Linked DNA regions of Rhinolophus ferrumequinum. The protein of the gene in region 1 purifies or fractionates together with the protein of each later gene. This does not show direct contact. Links are inferred from orthologs where the notes say so. Each region holds a gene or a part of one and is shown on either strand. Other genes may lie near its edges.

Region 1 (7,677 bases):
AATGAAAAGTAGGCGTCTGCACCAGAGAGTGGGTCGGGCTGAAGTGCTGTAGGCCTGACAGGGTGAGGTAGATCCATGGGACGGGCACCTAGCAGTCATAGGAACATTGAGATAACTGGTGAAGCTTGAGTGAGGTCTGTGGGATAAAGGGCAATAGTAATGTATCAATCATAATTTTCTGATTTGGCAGAATTGTAGAGAACATCTTTGTTTATGGGAAATACACACCAAGTAAGTTATTTGGAGTGTTGATGTAAGAAGCGCCCAAACCTGTAGAGAAGTTTATTTGAGCCAATCTGACGACAATTGCCGGGCAGCAAAAACTCAATGTGTTAAGAAAATGCTCCAGAAAATGGCAGTTTCACAGCTTATTTTATACATTACAATCAAAGGAGGAGACATGAGGAGGGTTACATGAAATCCATTTGCGGTACATTAGTGGGTGGTAGAAAGCAAAGCAGGGAAATCTCTGGGATTGAATAAAAAATAAAATGGAGAGACACATACTTCTTTTATATTGGTGGGTACAGAATAGTTAACAATGAACATTTATAGCACATAGAGATGGTATTCGGAAACAGGATAACAATGAGGGGTTCTGTAGTCTAGTGCTCTGGTGCGGTGGGTTGTGCCCCCTGGGGGATCCAGAAAAAGGGATTACTCTGACATTCCAAGGATATGTTATCTTAGATGCAAAAAGACGATAGACAGCCTCACTTAAGGTAAAGATTGACCTTTGTCAAGGACACTACAGGCCAAGGACATGACTACCGGCCATGTCCTGCTTTCAGTTAGGAATTTATATGTTCAGACCATCCTGTGTGGTTAACTTCGGTGTCTGAGTTTGTAGGGCCTGCTGTGCTGGCCTCCTCTGAGATTGTCAGGGTTTGTATGTGGCCCCTTTTTCGTGCACAGGAGTTATGGGGCAGCTGCTTGCCATGTATTCTCAAATGGTTCAAGGGAAAATATTCTTTGTGTTACAACTTTTCTGTAAGTTTGAGATTGCTTCAAAATAAAAAATAAAATAAAATCCTCTCCAAAAAGTTTTTAAAATTAAAGCTAAGTTATTCAATTGTGTTGCATACTGCTATGCAGCCAAATAAGACAGTTCACCTTGAAACAGACCATCGGAAACCTTAGCAAGAGCACTTTCCAGTGGACAGTGAAGGCAGACACCAGAGTTAAATAGAGGTTGAGGATGAGACAGATGGTAAATGGAAATGACAGATGCAGTCAGCTTTTTTAGGAGTTTAGCTGTGAAGGCGGAGGAAGGGCCCTTAAAAGAAGGGGAATCATAGTTAAGGGTCTGGAAACAATGATGTATACTAGTGATGTTTGAAAAATTAAGAGTTAGCCTAAACAGGGTTTGGGAAGTCTTGGAGAAGTTCTGTCTTCAGATATTTGAAAACCTCGCAAGTCAAATAGGTGCTGCTTATTATTATTTTTTTTTTTTTGGAGGGATGAACTAAAACCAGTGTTTACAGAGAAATGGATTTTGGCTCAACATTAGAAAAATCTCTTGATCTGTCCAGCAGTTGAATAGTTGCCTTGTGAGCAGTGAGCCTCCTGTCACAAAAAGTGGACAGTGAGAGGCTGGGAAGTCGGTGTTACAGCCTGGTTCCTGGATGTGACGCCTGTATTGATTTAGGACTGAGACTGGATGGATCTGTGCTCCCACTGCATCCTTAGGCCTATTGTTGCCTGAATGTTTAAGTAGGAGTTCTTAGCCCTTTGTGAGAGCTTGAGTATAACAGGAAATTACCAATTCTTGGGTTCCACATCTGCTTGGGCTCTGTAGTGCTTTAACCACCGATGTGTAGACATTAAAGAGGAAAGGCCAAGGGCCCACGGGAACCTTTAAGTGGGTTTCTTTGTTGTTTCTTGTGCTTATCACAAGTGTAGATAATTTCATATTTGCAGTGACCAGTATGTCTTTTGGTTCCTTAAATATCACTCTAGATGGGTCTGAGTAAAAACGTGGGTGAGTGTGATTGCCCACCTGCAAACAGGCCAGTGACCGCAAAGGCATTGAGTGGAGAATGGAGTGGGAAGTGTTCGTCATGCTGGGAGAGGGGCCGTTTGTGTACTGCAGATTGCAGCAGCCTGGGGGAGTATAGGACTGCTTCCGGGGATTATCCTTTGTATTGTTTTCCTACTGGTTCTTAGAGCCGGACTTTTTTTTAAAACAGTATACTTGGAAGTGAACTGGGTAAGAACAGTATTGTCAGGGTCCCCTATGATTTTATATTCATGGAATATAGGAAACTGACATTTTTTTCTTATGTACTTAGAAAAATAAAAAATATGTTGTCAGAGGAGGAAAAAAAATTGATCGGTTGTTAGCAGGTAAGTGGGAAAACCACAGTAGTGTTAGTTCTGGTGGCTTACAAATAAATAATGGTGCAGGAAGGAGGAAAGGAGAGCAGAGAGGTAAACGCAGCTTAGGACAATGAGCTTCTACAGAAGCTCTCTTGGCCACCAGGGAAAACGGCTCTGTACTTTTCAAGTAGGATTTCCAGGCGGGACTTCCCGCCCGTTCTCAGGAATTTTTTTTACTTTCCCTTTCCCGAATCCCGAGATATAAACTGTCGTCTGTTCCCCACAATGAGTTGTTTCCACACAGTGACAGCCGATACTACCAACCACCTGCCGCTTTTCCCGACCAACTTTTCTCAGGGTTCGGGAACGGGAAAGCGAAAAAAATTCCTGAGAACGGGCGGGAATTCCGCCTGGAAACCCTACTTTCAAGTGTCTATTGAAAGCATGGTCCTTCATAAAAGTACTCTTAAAAATTTCCATTCTGTGTAAAATATGAAATAGAAACCAAAATAGTCATGCTGCCTGTTTAAAGATAAGGCTTTTATTTTTTCCTATTGGTAATTTAAATAATTAAAATGTTATTTCTAAGAGTCTGAACAATTTATCATTAGCAAGTCTCACCCTAATCACATTTGTTTTCCTTCTCAGAACGTTGGTTGAGAGCGTAGTCACTTGGACTCTCCTCTGTAAATGTCCTTAGAGTGGCAGACCACAGGCATCTCGCACGTACTGGCCGACACCTCCTAGCTGCCATCTCACATGGCTTGTGTCTTAGATGGACTTGCCTGCTCATTTTCTCACGCACCTTCTCCTCATGGGCTCCCATGTTAACCAGCTTCATTGTGTCTCTACTGCTCATTTAGGTGGGAGGTACTGGGACTGTCTCCAGCCCATCCTCCAGGTGCCATCTGTCCGCCCCTGTACTGTCTCGCACCCATGCTTTGCTCCCTCACTCAGTCACTGTCCCAGTGGGTCCCTAGTCCTAGTCCTGGGCTTTCAGCCCTGTCTCTGCAGGGCAGTGTTAACCTCAGCATGGAGATTTGCTCAGAAGCTGGCTCTGACTCCTGTTCCCCAGATGCAGATGCTTATTGAGCTCTTAGGGCCTTCTGCCAAGTTTCCAACTTGCTTTCCACGCTGCACCTACTATTTCTTCTCCCTTAAAGCTCTGAAAGCTGTGCTTTCTGGATTAGATACATTTTTTAAATTATTGTCTATTGTTACATACAAAATAACAGGGGCATGGTCCTACACTGAGTCGGGATTCTGACACCAAATTGCCTTACTTGACAAAGTTCATCCTATTGGGAGGTAGGGGGTGCATTTTAAAAGGTGTTTGCTTAAAGCATTAAGTGTCTATATTAAGTATCTATCGCAGTAGATTGTTTCCGTCTGCACAGGCTGAAATACCATTTGGAGATAGAGACATAGAGACAGAGACAGACAGAGAGACGGGGGTGGGGGTGGTGCAGCCTGACATGAACCAGGGAGGAGGCGGACAATCGGTGGTTGTTAGAATTTCTGTTTTCTTTATATCCTTTATCCTCAAGTTACAACCTCCCCCTCATAAAATTCCTTAAGAAAAAGAAAAAAGTGATACTTAGGGGTTTTTTATATGCCTCTGGCAAGACATTATCTAGCTTCTTTTCCCTGAGTCACCAACAAAAGGCACTCAATTGTGTTTTTGAGAGGCCTGGCTACTGTAACGATCCAGTAAAGGCATAACCAAGAATTGGGTTTTCACATTCTGAAAATAAAAATGTAAAAGCAAATATCTTTTGATTAACATATCAGCTCTACAGATAGCTTTATTTGTTCTGTCCAAGAATTTAATAGTTCTATCAAGAAAACAAAGATTATGTTTTTGAAAAATGGAATGATGTTTCAATAGCGTTGTAAGGTATCCAGCAGGTCCCACTTCATTACGATTAACTTTCTGTCCACCCTGTTCCACAGAGGAGTAGAAAGAGAATTTTTTTCAACACGTTTAGAGAATAGATAAGAAAAGAATAAAAGAATTTAAACCTTTTAACATGCATGTAAAAGGCAGTGTTTGCATCATAAAGACATTTTTCTAAATCCATTATTGTATTTTAGATGTAATTCTTCGAGTAGTCAGAACTTTTAAATGTGTTTGAGAAACAAAATAGAGTAGTTGCAATTTAGGAATAATTTATTTAAAATACATGTTATTCCTCCGCACATTTGAACAATCTGTCCAATGCAGTCCATGTGGGACTTTGCTTGTACAGTTCTGAGTGGGAATCAGTAGTGTCTTTGTGCGTTGCTTTGGAAACAAATCAGCCTATCCTGAATGCTGTTAGATCATGTAGAGTGATGCTCACATCGCAGTGCAACTTCATCACAGAGCAAGCTGGCGCTGCCATCTCCTCGCCCAGCTCTCCTCCTGGGAGCCCAGCACCATGCAGGACCCACCCCGGAGGCTTTTGGCCGTGCCCTTCCTCAGCAACTTCTTCCAGGGCCGTCGGCACTCGGCCTCAGACCCCATCCTGCGGCTGCCGCCTGGGCAGTGTGGCTCTGCCACCAAGATGCTCTCCTCATCCTCTTTCCAGGTGATGGTGGCGGTGTCCTCTGTCAGCTGTGCCAAGAGAAACCCACCTTGCCCCGAGAGAAAAAGTAAAGCTCCTTTTCTTCTTAAAGATTGCCATACCTTTGAGTTTAAATTTAAGGGATGTGAAGAGGCTGTGCTGTGTTTATACCTTTTTAAATTTTGACAATTCTTCATTATACTTTTTACTGTCTGTTACACTAAGAGTTTTGGTAGATATGTAATAGGAGATAAAATGATTGAATGTTTTGTGCTTGTTCATTGAAAATATAGTTTTTGAACAAACCTCATTTCCTTATAAAAGATCTGCTTTTGCTGTTCTTCCTCTTTGTGACCAGTATGACATGTGGAGGTTGTGTATGAAAGTCTTTTCCATGTTAAGAGATAATGCACTTACATGCAGGGAAAATGGTTTTAATCATGGCAAAATGAAGAGGAGTTAGCACTGGCTCCTCATCTGCAATCCTGAGATAAAATGCAAGCTGTTTCTCAGGTCACTGTTCCATATGCAGAATGGAATTTTGAATCTTCCCTTTATTATATGTTCTAGGAAATACAGGACGTCCAACAGCAAAATATACAAAAGTTGGAGAGCGTTTGCGGCATGTCATTCCTGGACATATGGCCTGCTCCATGGCGTGTGGGGGCAGAGCGTGCAAGTATGAAAATCCAGCCCGCTGGAGTGAGCAGGAGCAGGCCATTAAGGGGGTCTACTCGTCCTGGTGAGTAACTCTGCCGGGCTTTGGTAGCTCTCCCCTGCAGCTAGATAGGACAAGGGAGTGAAGATGTACGTGGTGCCGGGACACAGCGGGCTACAGGAGAGGGACAATGGGGTTTGAAGTCACGACCTCACCTTCCGTGTCTGGCCTGGCCACCTGACGAGCCGTGGCCCACTCACACAGGTGCTCTGAACCTCCATTTTCTCATGTGGGAAATGGAAATAATAAAACCAACCCCATCGCGTCTTTTCTTAATTAAATGAAATGATGTATGTAAATATCTTAAAGAAATGGTAACTTGTGCTCTTAAATTTCAGAAATTGCTAGAAATAATAAAAATGTGGAGCTATAAATTTGAGGAAATTCTGAGGTATATATGTAGTTTTCAGTTTCATACATGTAAGTGTTGCCTATTTTTTATTTTGTTCCCATATTCTGTATGAAAGGACCCATTTTCACACAAATATACTTCCAGTCTGCCTCAGTAGGAGTGGTACAATTGTCGGTTCAGTGGACAATATAAGATGCTTGCATTATTTATGGTGTGTAAGTGCATTCATTATTGAATCATACTGCTTTTCATTAATAGTAAACTGTCAAATATATCTTTTTTAATGTAGTGATATCTGAAAAGTTCTGCTAATCAAACCAAATCCCATTTGAAACATACTTAGAAGAATTCACTGTTTAAAGAATTCTAATGGTGAATCATTTTATACAGCAAGAATCCATTTACAAATTAGATATTTGTCAATCAGCTTTTCTAACTTGCAACCTGTACTTTTTCATATTGGATATGCTGGGCACATGAGTAGTGATATAATCAGGGGTCCACTGTCACTGTTCTCCACAGATCATATTCTAATCCATCACTGTCTTTCTTAAAGAATGTTGTAAAAAAGCAAATATGATTCCTAAGGTGTGGTCAGACAAGTACATTGCTAATAATGTATGTAGCTTAAGGCCACAGTAATATTTTTGATTTATAGCTAACTAAACCATCTGAGTCTTTTTCATCTCTGCTGCTTTCATGTTACATCTCTCCTCATCTCATACTAAGTACTATTAAATTGGGGATTGTCCCAAACCTTTAGGGGACCTTGTTGAATTTCAGGCATTACTCCAGGGGGAGGAGTATCTTTTTGGATCCTGCTCTGTTCATTTAATGTCACTGTTACTCCTCTCAGGTTCGTGTGACCCACAACGTCCGATAGACTGCCTGATGTGTCTTTTACCAGAATACTGATGAGAAATTCGACCAGAATGGAGTGAAGCCAGAGTCCTAATGTGGGACAGCCATTTGTTGGGCCTCTGTCCATTCACAAACTCAGTAAACATTCATTTGTCCACAGGCCAGGCACTGTGCTAGACCTTTTCAGTTATTATCTCATCTTCATAAACTCTTGTGAAGTGGGCATTGGTAATGTTATTTTATTGATGAAGGAATTGAGGTCCAGACAAACGAAGTAATATGCCACACAGCTAGAAAGTAGAAAAGGCAGCATTTGAATCCAGGCTCAACTGACTCCAAAGCTCTTATTTTTGCTAAATTGCAGTAACTGAGCATTTATTCATAACCATGTGTGAGGATTTTTGCTACACACTTTATATTCATGTCGTATTGAATTCTCACACTAACCCTGTGAGGCAGGTGTTATTCTCCCTATTTAATGCATAGGTAGCTGAGCTGCAGATGGCTACCAATCGGCCCTCCTCATTTGGTTAATAACCTTTGGATCTCTATCACAGACTGTCACCTTTGCTGCCAACTGAGGTTTCTCCATTGTGTCCACTACAATCTCATGGGAGTCCTTGAAAATGCTTTGTAGCGGTTCATAAATACTGGAATTTGCCCTGGAATTTTTTCCAGGGATTTAATCAGCTAGGATTTCTTAGAGCCCTAATCATAATGCAAAATCAAAGCCTGATTTGTATAAGGAGATTCTTATGTTACAGAGTTGTTGAAATCATAGAAAAAGTAGGGGCTTGATATCGTGCTCTCTCAGTCCTTAGAGCTGGAATGTCCTAGGTTTTGTGCATCTAATCAGACCCTTCCATCTGCAGGGTCACAGA
Region 2 (7,191 bases), on another chromosome or scaffold:
ATACGTTGATTATAGAATATTTGGAGAAGCTCAAATGTCAAAGGAGAAAAAATTAGCCATTGTGCCGCTGCTCAGGGACATTTCTGGGAACACCTTGGTACATTTCCTTCCTGTCTTTTTCGGTTCTACATATATTCTGTTTGTTTTTTGTACGTACTTGTGATCATATTGCATCTGCATTTTTGTATCCTGCTCCTGAAGCACAAGCAATTTCCTCTGTTTTTACAAAAGTTTGACTAAGTAATAATCCACCTGGTGGATTCACTGTCGTTTTTCTTAAACACCTGCTAATGTAGGATTTTTGGTGATTTGATGAGTTCTACACCTTGAATGTTGTTGTGTGAATTGTCATTATAGTCTAGATTTTACAGAGTTTTGGGAAGCTGACTTCAGGCCAAATTTGTAGATATGAAGGAAGTATATAAAAATATACTTGAAATTTTCCCCTGTAAAGCCCTTGAATCTGCTCCATATCAGAAAGCATGGCTGTGGTGGGTTTACCAATATTTTAAACTATCGTTTTCTAATTAGGAACTTCTCCTTTTACCCTGGAGTTCACGGTCTTTCTTAGACACCCCTAGTTCTAACTTGTCTAGAGGAAAGAAGCATCTAAAGAGTGCCACTTCTCATTTAGTGTAGAAGAGGGTTTGTGTTCGTCTTAACTCCAAGGAAAAGAACAACTTGCAAGTAATTCTCCTCTCATTGTATAATACACTTTAAAAAGCTGTCTTGCAAACAACCCACGGGTGAGTCCGTTAGCTCCATTCTGCTGGCAGGATTGTGGGTGTTCTTGGTACCTCTCAGCTCAGCTTGTAAGTAGAACAGCTGCAGGACTTATAGGCTCTGCAGGACTTCACAGGGAAAACCCACAGCGAGTTTCCTCTTGTGTGTCTAAGCTGAACTCAGTTCTGCAGGGAGCTATTTGTTCATCTCACAAGTGGTCAGGTGTTGAAGGGCTGACTAGGGGCTCCCTTGAAAAAATGCTCTCATGGTAGAATGTGGATGAGGGAATGGTGTCCCATGGAATTTCCTTGGATAATATGTATTCAGGGATAAAGGACCAGTTGGATGCAAGTAGTTGGGATGAATCTATCTATAAGCAACTTACATCTTTAACCAACTATTGCCTAACAAATGTACATCAGGATAACCTAGATAATTTGCAAAACGCCTCCTTCTTCTAGGCATAAGAAGGGTGAGTGAAAACATTTATGATATGGCAAGCTTTAAGAAGCCAATATTCCACTGGTTTTCTTCCCAAGCCAGAGATTTATTCATTCATCCATTAATCCAAAAAATTATGTGGCTGGTGATACAGGGATGAATAAGAATATTTCCTACTCTCAAAGAATTCAGTCTAATAACAGACACATATTTAAATAATTTAAACATAATCTAGTAAGAGAGAAGTGCATCAGATTGTATGAGACTATTTAGGAAGGGCACCCAGCCCATTTTAAGGTGAGTAAGGAATGGGGGTGGAAATGAGCAAAGCTTTCCTGGAGGAAGTTACATCCGAATTGTTTTTTAAAGAACCTTTTACTGGCTGAGGAAGGAAAGAGGGATAGGCATGTGGGAATGTTGGAGCGGAGTGGTAACTGGATAGTGATTTTCCAGGCAGAGAAAAAGCATCAACCCAAATGGAGGGAACACAGAATCGAGACTTGTGTTCTGGCAGTGCTTGTTCAAACAAACTTATTGGACATTTGTAAAAATGTCAAGTAGGCAGGTAGAGGTGTGTGTGTGTATCTGCAATTTTGGGGTAAGGATAGAGCTAGAGATCTAGATTTGGCAGCCACTAGTAAATTCATGGTATTTACATCTGTAAATATATGGAAATACTATAAGAGGTTGCCCAAAAGAGTGTGTGATCAGAGAAGGGGACCCAGGACAGAGGCCAGGGAGACAGATCACCCTAACATTTAGAGGATAGTCTGGGAGAAGGAGTCAGCAAAGAAAACTGAAAGGGGTGGCTAGAAAGGTTGGAAGGAAACAAATCGCGTGTCAAGGAAAAATGGTCTCAGTAAGGATGGCGTGAATTAGTCATTTCAAATGCTTTTGGGAAGCTAACAAAACCAAAGAAGTGACTGCTGGATTTGGTAACATGAAGATCATCGAAGACCTTGACAGAAACCATTTCAGTGAAGTGGTAGGGACAGAAGCCCTAGTACAGAGGATGGAGGCTAGAATGCAAGATAAGGAAGGGGGGCTAGACTAGAGCAACCCTTGCCTTTATGCTGGTGGGTATTCTGGCCTCTCTTCTTAAGAGCCATTCAGAAGAAAGGGAGGCGGCTTGTGCTCCACTGATATGACTGTTCAGGGTCAAAACGTGCCAGGTTGCGTGTACCTGGGCGCCAGGATGCACAGACCTTCGATATTACACCCCCCTTAGCTCATCTCATGACATGGAGTGCCCTCTAGACTGTATACAATGCTCTTAGAACAGCGTCCAGGACATTGTCAGTGCTGTATGAACTTTTGTTATCATTACCGCAGTTTCTAGGCAAGCTTTCTTGTCTTCTAAGAAGAACACATCATTTATATAGACCAAATCATTTTTCAGGATGTGTGAAGATTCAAATCTTACACGTGGCAAAAATTGAAGCATAAAAAAGAAAAATGATTTGCATATAGGGGTGCTAGTTTTCAGTTGAACGGTCTGTGTTCTCTCTCTCTCTCTCTCTCTCTCTCAATCTCTCTCTCTCTCTCTCTCTCTCTCTCTCTCTCTCTGTTTCTCCCTCCCTCCCTCCCTCCCTCGCTCCCTCTGAGTTCTGGTTAAGGTGGAGAGCTCTCACTAGTGAAAAGGAAAATGAATAGTAAAGGCACATGCTGAGAAATAAATTTATGGAATCAACCAAAATAGAAGTAAATACAGCAAACAGAGAAGTGAAATGTTGTACCTGTTTGTACAGGTAGCTGAAAGATGACAGATACAGGGTGGATTTTTAGTTTTGATTTGTTCATTGGTAAAGTGAGAAATATTAATGTAGAAACAGAGGAATAATAATACAGTGGTGCAGCTGTTTCATGTGGAAGAATTCTGAATCTTGTTTTGTAATTGAACTCTTCTGGAGAGCAAGACTAAGGTAGAAAGTGGAAATGATGGACAGGAGGTAAATATTGTAAACTTCCCCTTGGTCTCCAAATGCCTTATCACTCTTTTCAGCCTTAAGGTCAAATTCTAAATACTTTGCAGGTGTTTTTCATGTCCAAAATTTGGATATCTATCTCATGGGATTACTGTGGAGATTAAGTGACATGTAAAATGTACAGTAGTATATTGTGACTGCATCATTAATTCATCTTTCAATGAAGTGCACATGCCCTCTTGACTGATAACTAGTGTTTTCTGTTTATTTTTTTCTTATACCTCTTAAATCTATTGAAGATGCTTTCAATACAAATTTAATAATAACCACAGCTAACAGTTATGTACTCAAATTAAGTCATTTAATCTTTGAAACAATCCTATAAAGTAGAATTGTTACCATTATCTCTTGTGTGGACTTAGCATTTGGCAGCCAGGTTTCAGAGCCCAGCTCTTAAACACTGTTTCTACACTTTTAGCTGGACAGAACTGGGCCACTCTTCCAGCCATATTCTGCTACTAGCAAACTCAGTGTTCTGTTTAGTAACCACTCTTAACTGCTTTCAGTCGTCAAGGACTCTCGCCTCAGTTCCCGGGTCACCCAGATGGAACCATTCCAGCTACGTCCTTTTAAGTTCTGTGAACTTTCACCTTGGCTAAGCAGCGAGTTTGCACCACTGTCCCTTTTCTTCAGTGGACTCAGGGCTAACCCACAGGGTCACTATTTTAAGTAGCAATACTGGTATTCTCTAAAAAGACACAGGTCTGCACGAATCCCTCAGTGAGCACTTGAACTGGACAGCTGAGCCCGTCCCAGGGTAAGGACACTGTCACGAAGGCTTGGGACACCGTGATGTGCAGCAGGGCCGCGGGGCTTAGACGGGGAGAGCCGGTACAGGGACCAGATCATCAGCGTGCGTTCCCGGGCGCGGCACGGGCTAGCCACCTAGGACACAGCAGCCGGGAGGGGGAGGAAGGGGCGGAGCCAGAAGCCTGCCCGGCAGCTCCCCCGCCCCTTCCCCTCTGCTGTCCGTCCCAGCTCTTGCCCCGCCCCGCCCTTCTGGCCCAGCCCGGCGGCTCCGCCCCCGGTGACGTCACCGGCCAGGCCAGCCGGCGCCATTTTGAAAGTGGAGCCCCTGCCGCTGCCGCCGCCGTCGCTGTCGTAGCTGCCGCCGCCGCTGCTAAAGAAAGAGCAAGAGCGGGGAAGCACAAGAGTGAAATCCACCATCCTGCTGGCTGGTCTGCCCGCCCCTCCTTCCTTCTTCCCCGACCCCCGCCCCCTCCCCCCACAGGTGCCATCCGCCGCCATCCGCCCTCTCTACCCCCCCATCCCCAGGTGAGGGGGGTGAGTTCAGGAAGCAGAGACCCCGAGGAACCCAGCAGGGTCACCATTTGCAGCGCAACATGGCAGGTAAAGGAGAAATCACCCTCGGCCAGTGACAAGGCACCGCTTCCTTCCTCCTCCCTCCATCACCCCCTAGCGACCGCCTCTGCCTCTCATAGAGCCACGGGGCGCCCCTTGGATTTCGGGGAATTGGTCAAGTGGGGTGGGTGAGGGTGGGGAGGGTTCTGGTGAGGCGAGTGGTCGCTGTGATACCGAAATGGCTTTTAAAATGAGGGCTGGAACCTTGGCATGGATGGGGGTGGGGTGTATGCCGGCGAGCTGTGGGGTAAAGGCGTGGGTGGGGCGGGGTGGGGGCGAGTGCAGATTTGTCCCCACAGCTTTGGAGCCTGGTGTAACCTCTGCTCCCCCCACTTCCCCGCCCCGGGCTTTTTGGCGGATCTTCCTTCATTTAATTACTATTTTTTCCCCTGCTGCAAGCCTTCTTGAGTGTTTATACAAATATATTTTGCACTGAGAAGGAAGAGTGCTTTACAAGTTAAAATGCAATCGGTACATATGTGTATTTTTCCCCACTGTGGGTACGTATATTTTTGAGACTGATTTGTTTTGTTTCCAACCATCTCCCTTTCGTTTCTTACCCTTTACATCCAAAGAGTGCAAGGTCTTGAATACAGCAAGTTGCATGAAAAATGTGATTTCAACTTTCCGTTTTGCATGTTAGCTTTTGTGCAGATGTCCTTTTCCCAAAAGGCATTCAATCGAGTTAGTTAAAATAGTTGTGGAGTTCAGTGATATAAATAGCCATGGGTAGAGGGATTTAGGTAAAAGCTTGGGATGGAGAGGGGATACATAGAGAAAACCAGGTTGGAATATTTAGCAAGGAATGGAAGTGAAGGAAGAGCAAGATAATTGCTTTGAGGATTACTTTTGTACATTTTGCTGTTGCTGAGTATCCTTCATGTAGTAGAATCAATTCTAGATCTGGATTCAGTTTCTTTATCCATCGATGCAGGACATTTCCTCCTCAAGTGCTTAGAAGTGAAATAGAAACATTCAGAGACTAAACCAATTTTCCGGGCTTCTTTCAATATTTAGATAGATGATTAAATCTTTGAAAAGTTAACATGTTGGGTTTACTTATGGTTTGCTATAAACAAGTTGCTCTTTGGCCTTGTCGAATAATTAAGTGAAATTAAAATTGTTTCGCACAAGATGACAAATTAGCAAAATTAATTCTCTGCAAGGTCCTCTGGAATCTGAGGGATAAGGTGAAGGGAGGCAAAACAAGCTTCCTTTTGACAGTCTCTTCACCAGTATTCATTTCTGCTTTTCCTCTCGAGCTAGTGATTTGCTGGTAATGAAATGCAAGAAATGGGTGGTGAGTGTTGTGTTTGCTGTATGTGCTCTTTGGTGATAGGTTCTTATGAATCCTTGCTCCTCAGGCAGGCAGTAATGTTCCTGAAGTTTTCTCCTCGTGCCATGTTTTATGGTAGTTTAACCTTATTGACTCTTCTAGAAGCAGGCTTTTTAAAGGAAAACACTCTTTAAAGGAAAACTCTCTAACTTTTGGTATTTGCTTTTTCCTGGTAGGTCGTGCTTGAATGTAAGGTTTTTACTGTATTTGAGGGAAAAGGATGTTTTAAACACATGTATAGTGTTAATGCCAGTACATGGCCTTTAAATATTTCATACCCCGAATCTCTTGTTTTCTAAAGCAATACCAGCTATTGGGGACTAGCCTTTTTTCAAATTAGTGCTCTGGGGTGGTGGTAATGTATGTGGGCAGTATGAGGCTATTAGTATCATGCCAACCATGGATATCATCTCAGTGTTGACCGGAGTAAACATGAACGGAGCTCAGTTTTAATTGGTATGTTTTCTTTTTTCTAGGAGCTGGAGGAGGGAATGATATTCAGTGGTGTTTTTCTCAGGTGAAAGGAGCAGTAGATGATGATGTAGCAGAAGGTAAGAAAGCATTTAATAATGCAGAATTTGAGTATAGAATGTTCAAAATCTTGATTACTGAAAATTTTCCTCGCAGATGAGTCTGTTAATAGTTGAAGAACATTTTGTATTGTCCAAGCAATGGAAGAACAGTTTTAAAAGTTAACCTTTCTGGAAAGTAGTCTTAAATTCTTCATTCTTTATGCCTCATTTTATTATTTTTTCCTGAATTAAATGAAAGGAACAGTAGATTATAAATATGAAACCCATGAAAAGAAAAGTCTGAGGTCTGTATGATAAAGGTTTCCTTGCTATATAAATTTCACTCACAAATAAATGGTGATGCATCTTCATGTTTGTATATAATTTTTAGATAATTAAGCTGAAATAGGTGCATCAGCATTTAGCTCAGAAGCATCTTGACAGCATCTTTTATTTCTGAAGGAAGATTTTTAGTTTTTTTGAACTTGCCTATTTTGAGATTGTGGTGTTGATTGGCATATTCTGTGAAGAAATGCTTGTTCAAGGGATGCATTTTATTGTCTTGTAAGGATTGATTTACGTGGGCAAGAAAACAGTGCTATGGATATATTGCACGTCTTCTGAGGGGCTGCCTTATTCTTGTGCTTTTAGAAGCTGGATTCAATCAGTTGAAGTGCTTAATTCTTAATTTTACCCCCAAAATTGTTTATTAGTGTATTTCAGAAGTTTAAAGTTTTGAAACTTTAGGGTTTTGCACTCATCTGAAATGGTCTTAGATGAAAGAGGCATTATTTCCCAAAAAGTAGTTGCATTATTTCATCATTCAGAAATA
Region 3 (7,600 bases), on another chromosome or scaffold:
GTTGATATCTGAATGACAGGGAGCCAATCCAGGAAGCTCAAAAGAACATTTTATTAGAGGGAATACCTAGGTCAACAGTCTTAAGGCAATAATAAGCTTGGTTGATTCAAAAAACAGAAAGAAGACCATTGTGAATGGAATGAGGTGATCAAAAGGGAATATGGTATGAGATAAGCTCACAGAGGCAGGTTTGTAAGCAAAGGGACAAGCTAAGGTAGGAATTTGGATTTTCTATGAGCCATGGCAGGGAGTGATCCCTGCGAAGTGAAGAGTGAACTGGGGTGGGGGGGAGGGGGGTAGGAGACAAGAGTGGCAGGCAACTAGTTAGGAAGTTACCGCAGTAATCTAGAGGAACAACGAGCTAAGTGATAGGCGGGATGGAGGAAAGTGGACTGATTTAAAATATAGAGAGAAGCTATATAAGTTACTAATGGACTAGATGCGGAAAATGAGGGAAAGAAGATTCAAGAATGTCTTCTAGGTTTTGGCTTGTGTAACTGGGTAGATGGTGATACTATTTACCAAGACGGGACAACTACATGAGAGGCATATTTTTGGGGAGAAAACTGAGTTCTATTTTATGCATGTTAAATTTGAAATGCCTGTTTGACATCTATGTAGAAAAATCAAAGGCAGATATAGAAAGAGACAAACAGATATTTGTATCATCTTTCTATATCTATATGTGGAGTTCCATGGAAAGGTTTGAATAGAAACAGAAATCATGAGAGTCAGCATCATACAGACAGTATTTAAGCCTTTAAGCATACATCCTTATCTGTCCAACTGTGGAATTCCTAGTCGCCCTTCAAAACCTAGTTCAGACGTCATCGCCCAAGAGGTTTTCCCTGATCACCCCAGGTTAATCCCTTTCTCCTCTCTATTACTTGGGTACCTTGTACGGACTTCTATTTTTCCACCTAATACTTTATAGTAATTATTTGTTGACACATAAGAACAGAGACCTCATTCCATTCACAATGGTCTGCTTTAGTATCAACATTATAACTTCAGGGTCTGATACAACAGGCTCTCGATAATTGTCAACTAAATTGAACTGAACTCATCAAATTCACAAAGTAAGTCAGAAATAAAAATTATGCTTACAATCAAAGACAAAAAACTAATAAACATTTTCAAAGTCATGACATTACTAGATAAGAATTAATATTTCCAATTTCAGGGGGGAAAATACCATAAACAAAAACAATCAAATCTTTTTTCTCCCAATCTCTAAACTAACAAGTCTACAGAGGCAGACAAGAAAAGAGGAAGATCTCATATTTGTAGTCAGAAAAAATAAGGGTTAATTGAGTCCAAAGTTATTCTCTCCACAGCTAGCACTAGGACTATCCATAAAAAGATCTGCATTAAAAAATACTGCAGTGTGCCTATCACAAAACAATGTATCATTTATACTGCAAAAATTCTAGAAGGAAGGTAGGCAGAATGTACTCACCAGCAAACAGTGGGCAAAGTCAGGACCTCCCACCAGGCCAGTGAAATTTCCCAGCTGCTCAGCAAGGGCTAACAGTACTTCATCTTCATCATAAATTGTATCTGGAAATGACAACAACCCAGTACTCATCAACAAGGATAGCTGGCCCAGAGCTGGACACTCACACAAAACTAGGAATAGATTCAATATGTAACCAGATGGTCCGGTCACTATCCTAACAGCATTTTCTTCCTTCTCAATCAAGAGTCTTCCTGGATCTGTTTTACACAATGAATTAGAAATTCATAATCCCATTATCAATTACTTTCCTATTAGCTAAATAGTTCATATTTGAATACGTCTGACCACATTACAATATGCTCCATCCTGTTCCTTTTGCACAGAAAGTATCACACTCAGTTTAGTGCTTAACACTGTGGGTAATAAATTCTAAAAAACAAAGTTTTAAAAACCACTGGAAAACAGTAATGCCCATGCCTGTCTTTAAACAAGATTCACATACCTGTAAGGAATGGCAGCAGTTCAGTTCTTGTCCTTTCTACTCCAAGTGCTAGAGCAATTGTTGATAACTTCTGAATACTGTTGAGACGGAGCTTTAAAAAAGGAAGTGGAAAGAACAAAGAAACAGTTGTGATTTAGACCAAAGAAAAAAGTTGCAAACAGGTGAGATAATGACATGATAAAAAGTAGGAAAACCTTTAATTTAGATTTTATTCTATGAGAATCCTCTGGAGCAGTGTAACATGGCTTCGTTGGCCAAAGGAAGATTTCTTAGTAGAAACATTCTGAAGGGCCCATTAGAGAAATGAATGAAAGAGAATACAATATCCAGGAAGTGAGGCAATCTTACAAAGAGAACTTTGGCAGCGGTGAAGCAGGTAAAACGGTTGACTGCAACTCCTGCCTTTTCAAAGAAGAGTTCCATTAGAGCTGATACAGGGGCTCTTCTAGGTTAATTAGCTATCCCTCTCTTTCTACCCAACCAGCCTGGCCAGTCTCCAAGGCGAGAGGATGGCATTCATCCACCGGCACTTAAAAGGGCCCCTTGGCATCCCTGTAGCTTGCTCCAGCCACCTCGCCGCCCGCTCATCAACAAGGACTACCCGCCCAGCTCAGGACTCCCACCGCACGACCAGATAGGGGTGCTTTGGCGGGAAGCCGGTTCTCCCACAACCGCCGACGCCCCAGAGGGTCGGGAGGAGGAATACTGGAGAAGTCCAAGGGACGGCCGGATCGAGCCCCTCACGGATCTTTCCCACCCTCCGCCTCAAGTTTCTGCTCAGAGGCCAGCTCTTTCATCTTTCAATCCCCGAGCCTCCCCCACTTGGGCGCCGGCCTCCCATTCTCTAACACACGCTCTGCCCCGCCCGGCCCGCCTCCGCTCTCCGGCCCGATTCCAGTACCTGCACGTCCTCGTTGCGGAGCTCATCAATTAAAACCGCGATCGGGTATAGCGAATCGTCTCCATCTCCGCCCGCTGCCCCGGGGCCGGTGCCGGGCCCCGCCGCGCCCGCCATGTTCTTTCTCCTCTGCCGGGTCACCGCCACCCGCCCCGCGTCCAGGCCCCGCCCCGCGTCCAGGCCCCGCCCCGCGCTCAGGCCCCGCCCCGCGCTCAGGCCCCGCCCCGCGCTCAGGCCCCCGCCCCGCGCTCAGGCCCCCGCCCCGCGCTCAGGCCCCCGCCCCGCGCTCAGGCCCCCGCCCCGCGCTCAGGCCCCCGCCCCGCGCTCAGGCCCCCGCCCCGCGCCCAGGCAGGCGGAGCTGAGCCCCGCGCTCCGGCTCCGCTGAAGTTGGAAAACCGAGTCTCTCTCCGTTTGGTGGAGACCTACTCCCAGCCCCCCCTGCGAAAACTGTAGTTCTGAACTCCAGAAGGAGAGTGGGCTGGGAAAGCAAATGAAGTCCCCGCGTCGTTTACCCAGACGAAAGAAACAGGGGCAGGGACTCATCCTACTCGTGGTGGTCGGGAAGGGTCAGGGACCTACGTACCTGAATGATCTGTGCTGTGACCTCTTTAGGACTCGGGCGAACCAAAGAGGATGCCCAAGGCCAGGAGGAAAAATCGATTTTTCGCCTCCCCTAACTTCATTCTGGCCCAGAGCCACTGGATCTCCAGCCCTCATTTACCCACTAGCCTCAAGCTTCCACAAAACCCCTCCACCACTTCCTTCTGCCTTTGCGCCAGAACTGTGTATCTGGCTCCTGCTCCGTAAGACAAATAACGCGGGCGGTGAGAGAAAATGAACAGTGTTATCCAAACTCCCCAGTCAATATTTTTTCTGCTTTCTGCATGCAAGCTGTTAAAAACATGCTGCTCTCTTGTTTTTGTGTTTCTTTTCAGTTTGGGACTGGAATGGTGCCTTCTGTTGTATTTTTTTCCTCCCATTTTTTAGGTCTTTAGCGTGCTAAAAGTACAACAAGCAAAAGTAGGACAAGCTTGAATACTTCCAATTTGGGTGGAGTGGCTAATCCAAGAGTCCTCAAAGGCAGCAATGGGAGGAGGTGAGGGTATGGAATTCTTTCTTACAAAACAATGGAAAGTTTTTATTTACCCTTGTTTGGGCAGCACAGATTAACTAGAATATCCTGCCTTTTCTGTTTGTTTTGGAATATAAGCAGCTTAGAGTAATAACTATATATGGCGATCACAAGCTCTGAAATGGTAATTCTGTGTGTCTGATTAATAAAAACGTAAAATTATTAATAAATGCAATTTAGGAAACTTTTTTTAAACACCTTGTACCTGGAAGTAAACGCAATAGATAGGGCATTTGATATTAATAGTTGTGAAAGTGGGAACCAATGGACCTGAACAGTATTTCTCAAATTAGGTCTGTGGATATATTCTCTGGGGTTTTAATCTTGTTTTCATCTTGATGATATTTTTTAGATTTGCATAGACATATTCTGTATTATTTGAATGACCACTTTATATCCTGGTGTTGCCACACGATTTGAACACCTACATTTGCATGTGTGTTTCAGTGCTGCTTTTATTGTTCTGGGATAATGAGAAAAGAACAGAAGTAAATTTATAATGAAAATAGTGTTTTCATGAACAAAATGAAATGACATCAGGGGACTGCACTGATGTTCACTGATGTCACAGTAGTTCTAACAGAAATGTACTGCAAAAAAAGAGATATTGTAGGTCATTTGGTGGCACAGTGAACTCAAAAGAAGCTGAGCTCTCATGGGCAATACCATAGTCACAATACAAGGGCTAATTTGATCTCAGCAAAACACATCATTTGTCATGTTAAATTACTATAATAGTAATATGAATTGTATCAGTTTTTTGGTTTCATTTTTATTTCATTTGTAAATCTATTTTGGTGTTTTAATTGTATAAGAACTATAAATAAAAGAACATTAATTTCTACTTTGTATTTGTAAATTTAAGTAACATTGTGATAAAAATAACTTTAAGTTGACTGAGTTTTTAAGACTTTTTGTCTTTAGAAATGGATTCAGATACTACTCAAGTTTGAGAGACAGGGCTTTTTGATTTAGTACTTTACCAGTTACAAGATCAGAGAGGGTTCCTATTGGCATGGAGAACAGAAATCTGTTCCCTTATACTTGTAAAAAGTCTTCAGAAATGATTAAGGAAGCAAGCGCAGAGAGAAGCACATTAAATCAGTTCCACACATATCATCATCTAGACGTTAGCTCTAGCTTAGCCAAGCCTCGATATGCTAAACAAAAATTAGCACAGTGATTGATGTTAAACAATTTTGTTTAAAACTCAAATATTCTTTGCTTACCCAAGCACAATGAATTGGACACCTATGGAATAACTATGATTAAGTATGAAATCACAAGCTGAGAAAATAGGCCCCAGAAAATTGACTGGTTTTAGAGGCATCAATTCTGGACTTCAGTTCCCACCTCTGTCTCTGACTCATTGTGACCTACTTCTCCCTGTGCCCCAATCCCACCTCCCACGCCCTCACCCCCAGTAAAATGGAGCTCACCACCTCTGGATCCCTCTCTAGTTACTGTGACAATACGAGAATGAAACAGGTAGTAAACATGGAGATGCTAATAAATCCTTTCATAAAGAAAGTGATTCAAACAAACAGATTGCAGCAGAAAGAGGCTATTTCAAAAGCTGGGCCAAATGGAAACTGGAACAAGACAGTCTTTGGGGAGTGTGGTCCACTGACTATCTGAATCACCTAAGATGCTTGTGTAAAAATGCAGATTCCTGGCCCCCATCCCAGACCTAGTGAATCAGATTTACTGAGAATGGGTTGAGACATTTTACCATGGACCCCTGGTGATTCTAATGTACACTGATGTTCAAAGGTCATTGATTTAAAAAGCTCGTCTGCAAAAATAATTTCCATGTCAACAAAAAAGCACCTACTCAGGTAGAGTCTGAAAAGAATCTTTGGAGACCACTTCTATCCAGCAAAAGCAAATGACAGGCATAACTGCTTATCAATAAGCAATTCTGTCCCTATTGGCTGTGGTTTTTGCCAGAGTAAAATGATCCCTCCTTTGCTAGATAATCAGCTAAGCACTACAATTACTGTGGCACTGAGCTGTTTCCATATCCTCCTTCCCTCCTCTCCCCTCCTCTCTACTGCTCCCTGTAGTCTCCTGTCCACGTCCCACACACACCACAAGAAATTAATGACCAAGGAGCGCCAGAGGCAACAGCTGAGATTAGGTTGTGGATGTAAGGCAACCCTCGGGAAAAAATACGACATTCTCAGCACAAAAACACTGACTTCTGACACCCACGTACAGCTCCCTCACTCAGTGAATCAAGGGAAGTCAGGGTTAGACTTGCCCAGTTTCTGTCAGGTGCAGCACAGGCAGATGGGATCAATAGCCATCAACTCTTGTGCTTGTAACCACTCTCAGTGCCATAACAGAAAAGGGTCAGTCCTGAGCAAGTCTGAATGACATCATTGTGCTCTCCGGTCTCTTGCCTCACATTTACTAAGCTCGCCTCTTTCTCACTATGCATGAGAGAAAACAGTATGTAGGTGATTATCGCAGGGTAGACTCAGAAGTGTCATCCCATTGAAAAGGCCATCAAGGCAGTGGTGGGTCATCCAGTTCATGCACAGAAAATCTGAGACACATGCTGGCATTTCCCAACTATCTTCATTTAGCAAGACAACCCTGGTAAACTGATTCTCAGGTTTGAATTGAATTCATTAAAAAGTAGTGATTATCACCATAGCATTAATGATATTTTACATTTCTATTTACACAAAGAATGTCTCCATTCCATGGGACTCAAATATTCTCTCTTCAACTTCACTTCAATATCTTCGTTTCTTTCTCGTCTCTACTTTGTGACCAAATTTTAATCCCATTTTTATACTGGGAATACTTGACAAAGAGAAAGAGACTTTACCTGGAGTTACACAATAAATCAGAAGAAGCTATGAACTCATAATCAGGAATTATTACTACTCTTTGCTTCATCCTCTATGTCCATGCCACAGTTTATCATTATATATAAGAAAAGTATTGGATTTCCAGAGCAAAACTTTCCTTGAATTCTCGGAGCAAATCGAAGAAATGGGACAGTCAGTTCTGATGCAGGGCAGCATATACAATGGTTAAGAGAATATACCCTGGAGTCAGGAAGACCTAGATTGACACATCAGCTCTACCAATGACAAGTTGTGTGACTTTGAGCAAATAACCTTCTGAATCTTGGTTTCTGCATCCATACATCGGGGGTTTTAAAGCATACTTTATGGACATGGTAAGATTAAATCATTCATATATAATGCTTAGATTAGTGCCTGACAAGAGTAAGCCCTCAAATATGTGCCATTAATAGTTATTATCTACCGAGGAAGTAGAAACAGGTAAGAAAACATTCCAGTGAATTGAGCTTTGGCAACAAAGAGAACCAGTGTGAAAGGATGAAAAGAGAATGTGATTTAGAGTTAGAAGACCCAACTGCAAGCCTTCCAGAAGATTTTTTTCATCGGTAAAATAGGGGCAAATCTTACCTTACTTCTCTCTCGGGGTTGTTGTGATTAATAAGATCCATAAGGTAAAGTTCTTTGCAAACAGAAAGCACTATGCAAATATTAGAAGTTATGTTATTGATTACCAAGGGCTCACTGAATTTGATGCCCAACCCAAACACCAAACAGAAAACCTCTGGAG
Region 4 (7,343 bases), on another chromosome or scaffold:
TAAGAAATCGGCATGAAGCAAGTCTCAGCCAGCTGCTAAACGTCCAGAAGGGACAAGTCTCTGGGCAGGGAAATCAGGAACGATTTCTCCAGCATTGCTCAGGTCCCTCCTTGAGTGGGCACCGCAGGAAAACTGAATCAGCCAGCAGCAGCTGGAGGCCTGGCACAGGCGTCCTCCCACCCCACGCAGACCAGTCCTGGGAGGGGCACGAGCGGTTCAGCTCACGGGCCATGGATGACGGTGTATTTCTGGCAAGGCAGGTATAGTTCAGGCAGAGCAAGTGCTGGGGTTCTCCCCACGGCTTAGCCATGCCAGGGAGGACGCGGGGGTGTCCTTGCCCGTTGTTTCCTAATACCTGGGCCTTGAGGTTACAACTGAGCTTAAATGGGCTGTAAGTCTGCGTGACTGCGAAGCCTTGGGCGAGTTATTCTCAGCCTCAGTTTCCTCGCCTAAAATGGGATGTCAGCGTGAAGGTGTAGGGCTCCGTGAGCATTAACCAGGATCATGGAGCATGCTTGGGGAGTCCAGACTCTTGGAGAGCACGCGTGACACTGAGAGCACAGATGTCCCCTCGAGCTGTGCCCGCCAGTCCTCAGGAGGTGCCCCTCTGCCTAAATACAGGCGCAGCTGGCACTCAGCTGTTCGTACACGGCTGCCACATCGCCATGTCACTGTGAATCAGAGTGATTTAAGTGCCTAGACTCACACACAGCAAAGAACAGCTGGACGAATGAGTGGACACGAGTCTGTTTATTTCACACCAGACACACTGTATCCATTTTCTTTTGCTGCCCTCAACATTACCACAGCTAATGGCTCGGGACCACACACATCTGTCATCTCACAGCCCTGGAGGTCGGAGGTGGGCTCCGCTGGCTCTGTCCAGGCTGAAAATGGCACCTCTCGGTGGGCTGTGCACCTGTCTGGAGGCTCCCGGAACCAGTCTACTTCCAAGCCCTTCCAGGCTGGTGCCTGAATTCAGTTCCTTGCAGTTCGCTCAGGACTGAGGCCCCATTTTCTTGCTGGCTCAGCCAAGGACAGTCTTTGCTGCCAAAGGCTGCCGCATCCCTTCTCATGCTTTCCGTGTGGTCTGTCCGGCAACAGCAGGCTAAGCCCCCCACACACTCTGCATCTCTCTAGTCCAGCTGGAGAAAGTGCTAGGCTTTTCTGAAAGCTCATGAGATTAGGCTGGGCACACAGATAATCCCGGCTAATCTCCCCACAGTTAAAGTCTGTCATCTTAATTACATCAGCCAAGTCCCTTTTGTCAAGTCATGTCATGTAACGTAGTCCTTTCTTTTTTCCTTCCTTCCTTCCCTTTCTTCATCATCTGAAGAAAAATTCAAGGAGCCAACCCTTCTTGGCAGGAACAAAGAGAAAAAATGGAATGAAGTTCAATGCCTTGTTGAACTCCAGCAGTAAGGCGGCAGCAGGTTATGAAAAGCTTCATTCACAATCACCAGAACTCGGAAGGAATCCAGACGTCCTTCAGTAGGTGAGGCATAAACAAACTGTGCTGCATCCAGATGTTGGGGAGGAAAAATTATCCTGTACCCTCAAGGTTCTTCTGGCTGGACGAATGATCAAATCAACACGAGACAGATTAGCAGAGAGAAACAAACTAACGTTTAATAACATGTCTGCCTCCTGTACACATGGGAGAGACCCAGGAACACTGAGTAAGTCACCAAAATGGCAGAAACCATCACCTTAAATACCACCTTCGGCTACAGACAGAAGATGCTGGGGTGGAGAGTCAGCTATGGCAGGCTGTCAGGAAAAGCACAAGAAACAAGAGTCAGGCTGTCGTGCAGACTTGCGTCCCCGCCTTCTCCATCGATGGTGAAGGCAGGCTGGGCACAGTGATGGAGATGCCGGACAGATGGACACTGCCCTCACAAATGAATGCCCTTCAGCAGAACTTCTTGCTTCTCAAAGCTTCTCCCACGTCTGCTGTTTCTTAAAACTAACCAGCCTCAAATAATCAACATCCCAAAGTGGCAAATTTTGGGGTGGCCAACTCTGCTCACCTTCACAGACAATGGAATATTATTCAGTGATAAAAAGAAATTATTTATGAAGACATGGAAAGATACAGAGGAATCTTAAATGCCCATGACCAAATGAAAAAAAGCCAACTATAAGACATTCTGGAAAAGGTAAAACCATGGAAATAATAAGATGGGTGGTTGCCAGGGTTGGGGAGAGGCAGGGATGACGTGGCACAGCACAAAGTCCTTTTAAGCCGTGAAAATACTGTGTGACACTATCATGATGGATACGTGTCAGTGTACATTTGTGCAAACCCATAGAATGTGCACCACCAGGAGTGAACCTCAACATAAACTATGGACTTTGGGTAATTATGGCATGTCCATGTGGGTTCATCCCTGGTAAAATATGTACCATTCTGATGAGTGATGTTGATAAGGGAGGAGGCTTTGCAGGGCTGTGTGGGAAATCTCTGTACCTTCTTCTCAATTTTATTGTAAATCTAAAGCTGCTCTAAAAAATAATAATAATAAATCTTAAATTTACAAAAAAAAAAAAATTGTCCAAGACACAATTGCAGCCACTGCACTCTATGACACAGCTGTGTGTGCAGCACCTGGCGTCGCACGATGAGGATGAATGGCCCAATGAATGGCCCGTGGGACACACACTGGGGCTTCCTGTGGCTGCTCCCTTGGGTCGGCCAGGCCAAGGCGAGTAACCCATAGGAAGGCGGACCAGGATTCCCCTCATATGAACAACTTCCTAAAATCTGGTGTGTTTAGTTCGAGTGGAAGATGGCACTCCTTATCAAGAGGGTACATCTGTGATAACTCAGAGCTAGCTACTAAATCTGAACTTGGAAACAATCCACATTTAGTATTTTAAATGGTATTTAGTTACCAAAATCTAAATAAATCAAAGAAAAAAATTTTTTTAAGTTATTCAGGGAAGAACAACAGCGTATGTTTTAAGATACAAAGGAAGGCAGCTCACTGTCTTCAGGCATATATTACCATGTTTCTCCCAAAATAACACCTATCCGGACCATTAGTTCTAATGCGTCTTTTGGAGCAAAAATTAATATAAGACCCGGTCTTATTTTAATATAAGACCCGGGCTTATGTAATATAGTATAATATAATGTATATAATCTTATATAAGACCTGGTCTTATATTAATTTTTGCTCCAAAAGACGCATTAAAGCTGATTGTCCGGCTAGGTCTTATTTTCAGGGAAACACGGTACTTTTGTGCTACTTTTGTTTTTAAATTTTAATTTAATCGTAGCTAATTAACCAAAGAATACAGTCTAAACTAAAACTAATTATCTTCAAAAGACTTATCTTAAACACACATGAAAGCCATTGCATATAAGAGAGTCTGACTCACGTTTTCAACAGCTCAGGAGCAGACCGGCTAAATCAACAAGAAAAAAAAAAGATTACGGCCCATTTCTCTGCTCGTCCTCACAACAAAGGGTTGCCGTGACTCACTGCCTCTAACTGTCCTGTCACTTTCTCTAAAACGCTCTCAGCGCAGGTTTGCACCGTCCACTCCGGGACTGCTCTCCTCCGGGTCAGAAATGGCACCCCGCTCGCGACAACCAGTGGGCCCTCTCGGCGCTCCGCACGCAGCGGTTAAGAGCGGACCACCCCCTCCCGGCTTCACGGGCTCCACCCGCTCCCGCGTCTCCAGGCGCCCACCTCACAGGTGGCTCCTCTTCAGCCTCCTGCGGGGCTCCGCCCCTGGACCTCGTCCCCATCTGCCCGCCCTCCCTCCTCGCTCACCTGGTCTCTCCTGGCTGCCATCCAAGTCGAACACAGACTTCCCGGAGCTCACACTGGGACCGAAGAGAGAGCTTTGCAGCCCCGCCAGGTGCGAGGACGCGCTCCGACGCGCTCGGACGCGGCGCGCTCCAGGTGCGGCCCCTCAGAGCGTGCTCTCCATTGGCTGCTCCGTCGAAGGACCGCGCTCCTATTGGCCGCGCTCCACTAGCTGCGGGCGGGGCCGCCTCGAGCCCTCCCATGACCCCCGAGGTGGACGGGCGAATAGCGGTGGTCCTGCCGCTGGTCTTCAGAGGCGCGCCAGCCCCGGGCCCACAGCCGCCCGCTGGCCGCGACGTACCCTGGCCACCCCGCCGCGCCACGTTCCGGGCCTGGGACAAAGCCCGGGGCGGCCCGCGCAGACGCACTGGCGCCTCCCGGCAGCCCCCGGCAGACCCCGCGGCCGCGCGCCCCACCCAGCCCAGCGCAGGGGAGCTCCCCGCCCGGAGGCGGAGGGGAATGACGTCATTGAGCAGGGCGACGGGCATTGGGCGCCATTTTGAAAAGGGGAAAAAAAATCCCTCCCCGGCGCTGGCGGCGGCAGCCGGGTTAAGGTGCTCGCGCGGCAGCTGCGCGGCGGCAGCCTCCTTCGTCCGCCGCCGACTCGGCGCCCGCCAGCCTGCGGCCGGCCATGGCAGGTGGGGTCCGCGCGGGGCGGGGCGGGGGCGGAGGAGGGGGACGGGCGGGTCCGCGCGGCCTGACGCGCCGGGTGTGTCCACAGGAGCCGGAGGCGGCGGCTGCCCCGCGGGCGCCAATGACTTGCAGTGGTGCTTCTCGCAGGTCAAGGGGGCCATCGACGAGGACGTGGCCGAAGGTAAGGCCGCGCGCGTCCGCGCCCCCTGCCCGCACCCGCCCGCGGCCCTCGGGGACCCTGGTCTCGTGGCCGCTCCGGGGAACTGCCCGGGTCCGGGTCCGAGACCGCGGGCCTGCCCAGCGCGGGCTCTGTCTGGAAGGAGCCCAAGGTCACAGAGCCTGCTGGGAGCTGGGGTTTTCGGACGGGGTGCTGGGTTCTGGGTCTTTTCCGCTGCAGGTGGCTGCCTCCTGCGTGTGGCAGAACTGTGGAAATCGCTGCAGAAACGGGCCTCGAGAAACAAAATCGGGATAACTGCAGCGGGGAGGCCTCAGGTCCCCACCCAGGCGCTCTAGTCACCTGTGGGTCTTGGGCAAGCTGATTGGCCTCGGTTCCCTCGACTTGAAAAAGAGGATTGGGATTTTATTATCAATTCTTTCAAGTTCCTCCTGCAGGTTTTACTCTTGAACCTTACGCTGTTACTTGAAGTCGGTTGTTCTTTCCTTAATCGTGCCCCTAAACGAGCCAAGGTACACGGGATTTAGGGTGGTGGGCAGGAAGCTGCCTGTCCTAAAGTAAAGCAGCGCACTTCTTTCCCGCACACACGGTCGCGGGTAGCCCTGATTCTTAGAAACCCAGAAGTTTACTTCCGGCCACATCGTGACTTCTCGTTGCTCAACCATCTTCCCGAACATTGTGAACCCGTAACCTTCTTATAAAATTCATTGTCTTTACACCAAATGCACCTTTTTTGCCCCCAAGTAACGGACAGCCTCGGGTCCCTCTGTGTCGTGTCCCCTTTCCTCCTCCTTGGCCCCTCCCATGACCTTCTGCATCCTTGCCCTTCACCGCTCACGCTCACCCGCAGTGTGACTTCTGGAGATTCTTGGCCCCGAGGACAGCGCCCCATTAGTAAAGCAAGTAAACTGGGCGCTCCAAGAAATTTGTGACGACGCATGTTTGAGAGTGAAACTAGGTGATTTTATATACTCTGAGTAATTTGATCCTGCTCCTTCTATAGTTATTTATGTAGTTATTTATATTTTCATTTTATATATGCCAAGTGAATGACAGTTCAGTTTACACAAAATTTCTATCAAGAGTAGCAAAACCTGTTTGTTTAGGGGTAGAGAGGGGAGAGGGCTTGAGGTCTACCTTAATTTCTGGTTTCTTTCCCTTTTTTTTAAAGAAGTTACAAGCCGAATAAATTAAAATTTAAATGCAACTAAAATGACATATTTTAAGTGGGGTGTTGCACTTTGAAAATAGGCTGTCCTTTAAAAAATCTTGACAACTGTTTTGTCCTCTGAATTAAAACTGATAGGAATTTTTTTTGCAGTTTTAGTAGAATTTTGAATACATCTAAAAGCTTGGTATTTCAGGTTATCTTTTTGTGAGATTTGTTTTGTGGTGACAGCCCCCATGTTTTTGATTGTTGTGTGTACTCAGAGGCTTGTGTCTTAATCCATGTATGATCTGGCCTCTGTAATCCATCAGAGTAACACATTTATAACTCTTCATCCTTTGTCATGTTGTTCTGTCAAATTGTGTTCGTTTGAATCGCGTTGTTCCAATAGAAGTCGATGATAAAGGAAAACGTCATTGTTAGCAGCTAGTGATTGTTACGCAACGAGAGTGAAGATGGTCAAGAAGCTGGTTGTGCCCAGACACCCTGATGAAGAAATGTTGGGAAGCGATGACAGGAGATGGGTAATTTCAGGGAAGTTTGGACCGGAAGTTTATTTGCTAAGATTGGAGGCTTGTCAGGCATTGTGTTCTTGAAGGTTTTGTTCTGGTCTGAGCTCTACATGAGGAGTCCCACCGTAAGCTTGGACCGTGTGCTTACCCTGCCTTGGGTGATCAGAAAGTGCTGAGATGATCAGCTGGGGTCCTCCAGTGACGTAAGGACAGCACCTAGTGAGTCTCAGGAGGTGTGGGCTCCCCTGACTTTGAAGGATGAGGAGAGGGCACAATGGAGGGAGGTTTTTGATTTCCTTTGGTTTTTAAAGCTAATCATGTTGGGACACTTGAATCCCAACTCCTGAAGAAAGTGTTGTATTGTGTAAACTTTGATGCCCGTTTCTCTTCTTCTTAAGAACAGGGTTTTGCTCGTGGGTCAGACCAGCCATGGTACCATCAGGGCTTTCCCATCTCCCTGCGAGTAGGTGCAGAGCTGGGCTCAGAAGGAAATGAGTGATTGTCCTGATGACACGATGCATGAGTAACAGTCACTGCTCACATGCCTCACTCTCCTTCCCATACAGCAAGCTGGCTATGGCCATAGGTGGCCCCGAAGGTGCATTAGGTGAGCTTTTTTGCCTAGGGGAGCGAGTGAGAATCGTAACACCCAGGGACGCTTCCAGTGGAAGTGAGAAGTTGTTTGGTAGGTGGTGCCTCCAAAAACCTGTGCTCTGAACGGTGATCACTTTTTGGAAGTTGTTAAATGTGCAGATTTTTCACGTGTGATGTCACCATTACCCAGCCCGCTCCCTTTCCTTGGGCAGTGCCCTGGGTGAATGTTGTTAGCAGACGCCACACGATACTATAACCCTCGCTTGTCTGTCTTCAACAGTGTGAGCACCTCAGGCTTGAAGGCGGGTCCCTCAACCCCCCGCCCCTTGTGGAGGTCCCAGCCCAGAGGTGGTGACAGCTCACAGTGTTGAGTGTTATGTTCCAGAGCTGCTCCCAGCTACCTTGTCTGTCGGTCCCATCCTCACACAACCTCAGGAGGGAGG

The links.
Region 2: the proteins of PTPDC1 (region 1) and PPP2R2A purify together in Homo sapiens (affinity purification with mass spectrometry; 4 studies listed by BioGRID and IntAct, counting the BioPlex papers as one, with this or other methods). This does not show direct contact. The link is inferred for Rhinolophus ferrumequinum from reciprocal best matches to the Homo sapiens genes PTPDC1 and PPP2R2A.
Region 3: the proteins of PTPDC1 (region 1) and PPP2R1B purify together in Homo sapiens (affinity purification with mass spectrometry; 3 studies listed by BioGRID and IntAct, counting the BioPlex papers as one, with this or other methods). This does not show direct contact. The link is inferred for Rhinolophus ferrumequinum from reciprocal best matches to the Homo sapiens genes PTPDC1 and PPP2R1B.
Region 4: the proteins of PTPDC1 (region 1) and PPP2R2D purify together in Homo sapiens (affinity purification with mass spectrometry; 5 studies listed by BioGRID and IntAct, counting the BioPlex papers as one, with this or other methods). This does not show direct contact. The link is inferred for Rhinolophus ferrumequinum from reciprocal best matches to the Homo sapiens genes PTPDC1 and PPP2R2D.

What each region holds. Positions count from the first base shown.
Region 1 is NC_046295.1:6,097,883-6,105,559, reverse strand, and holds the start of PTPDC1 (protein tyrosine phosphatase domain-containing protein 1), read left to right. Parts: upstream 1-4,675; 5' UTR 4,676-4,739; coding exon 4,740-4,953; intron 4,954-5,435; coding exon 5,436-5,607; intron 5,608-7,668; coding exon 7,669-7,677. UniProt on the Homo sapiens protein: May play roles in cilia formation and/or maintenance.
Region 2 is NC_046301.1:41,060,605-41,067,795, reverse strand, and holds the start of PPP2R2A (serine/threonine-protein phosphatase 2A 55 kDa regulatory subunit B alpha isoform), read left to right. Parts: upstream 1-4,191; 5' UTR 4,192-4,492; coding exon 4,493-4,499; intron 4,500-6,323; coding exon 6,324-6,398; intron 6,399-7,191. UniProt on the Homo sapiens protein: Substrate-recognition subunit of protein phosphatase 2A (PP2A) that plays a key role in cell cycle by controlling mitosis entry and exit. Involved in chromosome clustering during late mitosis by mediating dephosphorylation of MKI67.
Region 3 is NC_046294.1:80,154,958-80,162,557, forward strand, and holds the start of PPP2R1B (serine/threonine-protein phosphatase 2A 65 kDa regulatory subunit A beta isoform), read right to left. Parts: upstream 3,007-7,600; 5' UTR 2,977-3,006; coding exon 2,863-2,976; intron 2,522-2,862; exon of another isoform or gene 2,385-2,521; coding exon of another isoform or gene 2,310-2,384; intron 2,053-2,309; coding exon 1,962-2,052; intron 1,561-1,961; coding exon 1,460-1,560; intron 1-1,459. UniProt on the Homo sapiens protein: The PR65 subunit of protein phosphatase 2A serves as a scaffolding molecule to coordinate the assembly of the catalytic subunit and a variable regulatory B subunit.
Region 4 is NC_046299.1:1,054,368-1,061,710, reverse strand, and holds the start of PPP2R2D (serine/threonine-protein phosphatase 2A 55 kDa regulatory subunit B delta isoform), read left to right. Parts: upstream 1-4,449; coding exon 4,450-4,456; coding exon of another isoform or gene 4,457-4,539; coding exon 4,540-4,632; coding exon of another isoform or gene 4,633-4,764; intron 4,765-6,847; coding exon of another isoform or gene 6,848-6,890; intron 6,891-7,343. Other genes in the region: transcription initiation factor TFIID subunit 4, read right to left, coding at 3,783-4,764, 6,848-6,890. UniProt on the Homo sapiens protein: Substrate-recognition subunit of protein phosphatase 2A (PP2A) that plays a key role in cell cycle by controlling mitosis entry and exit. Involved in chromosome clustering during late mitosis by mediating dephosphorylation of MKI67.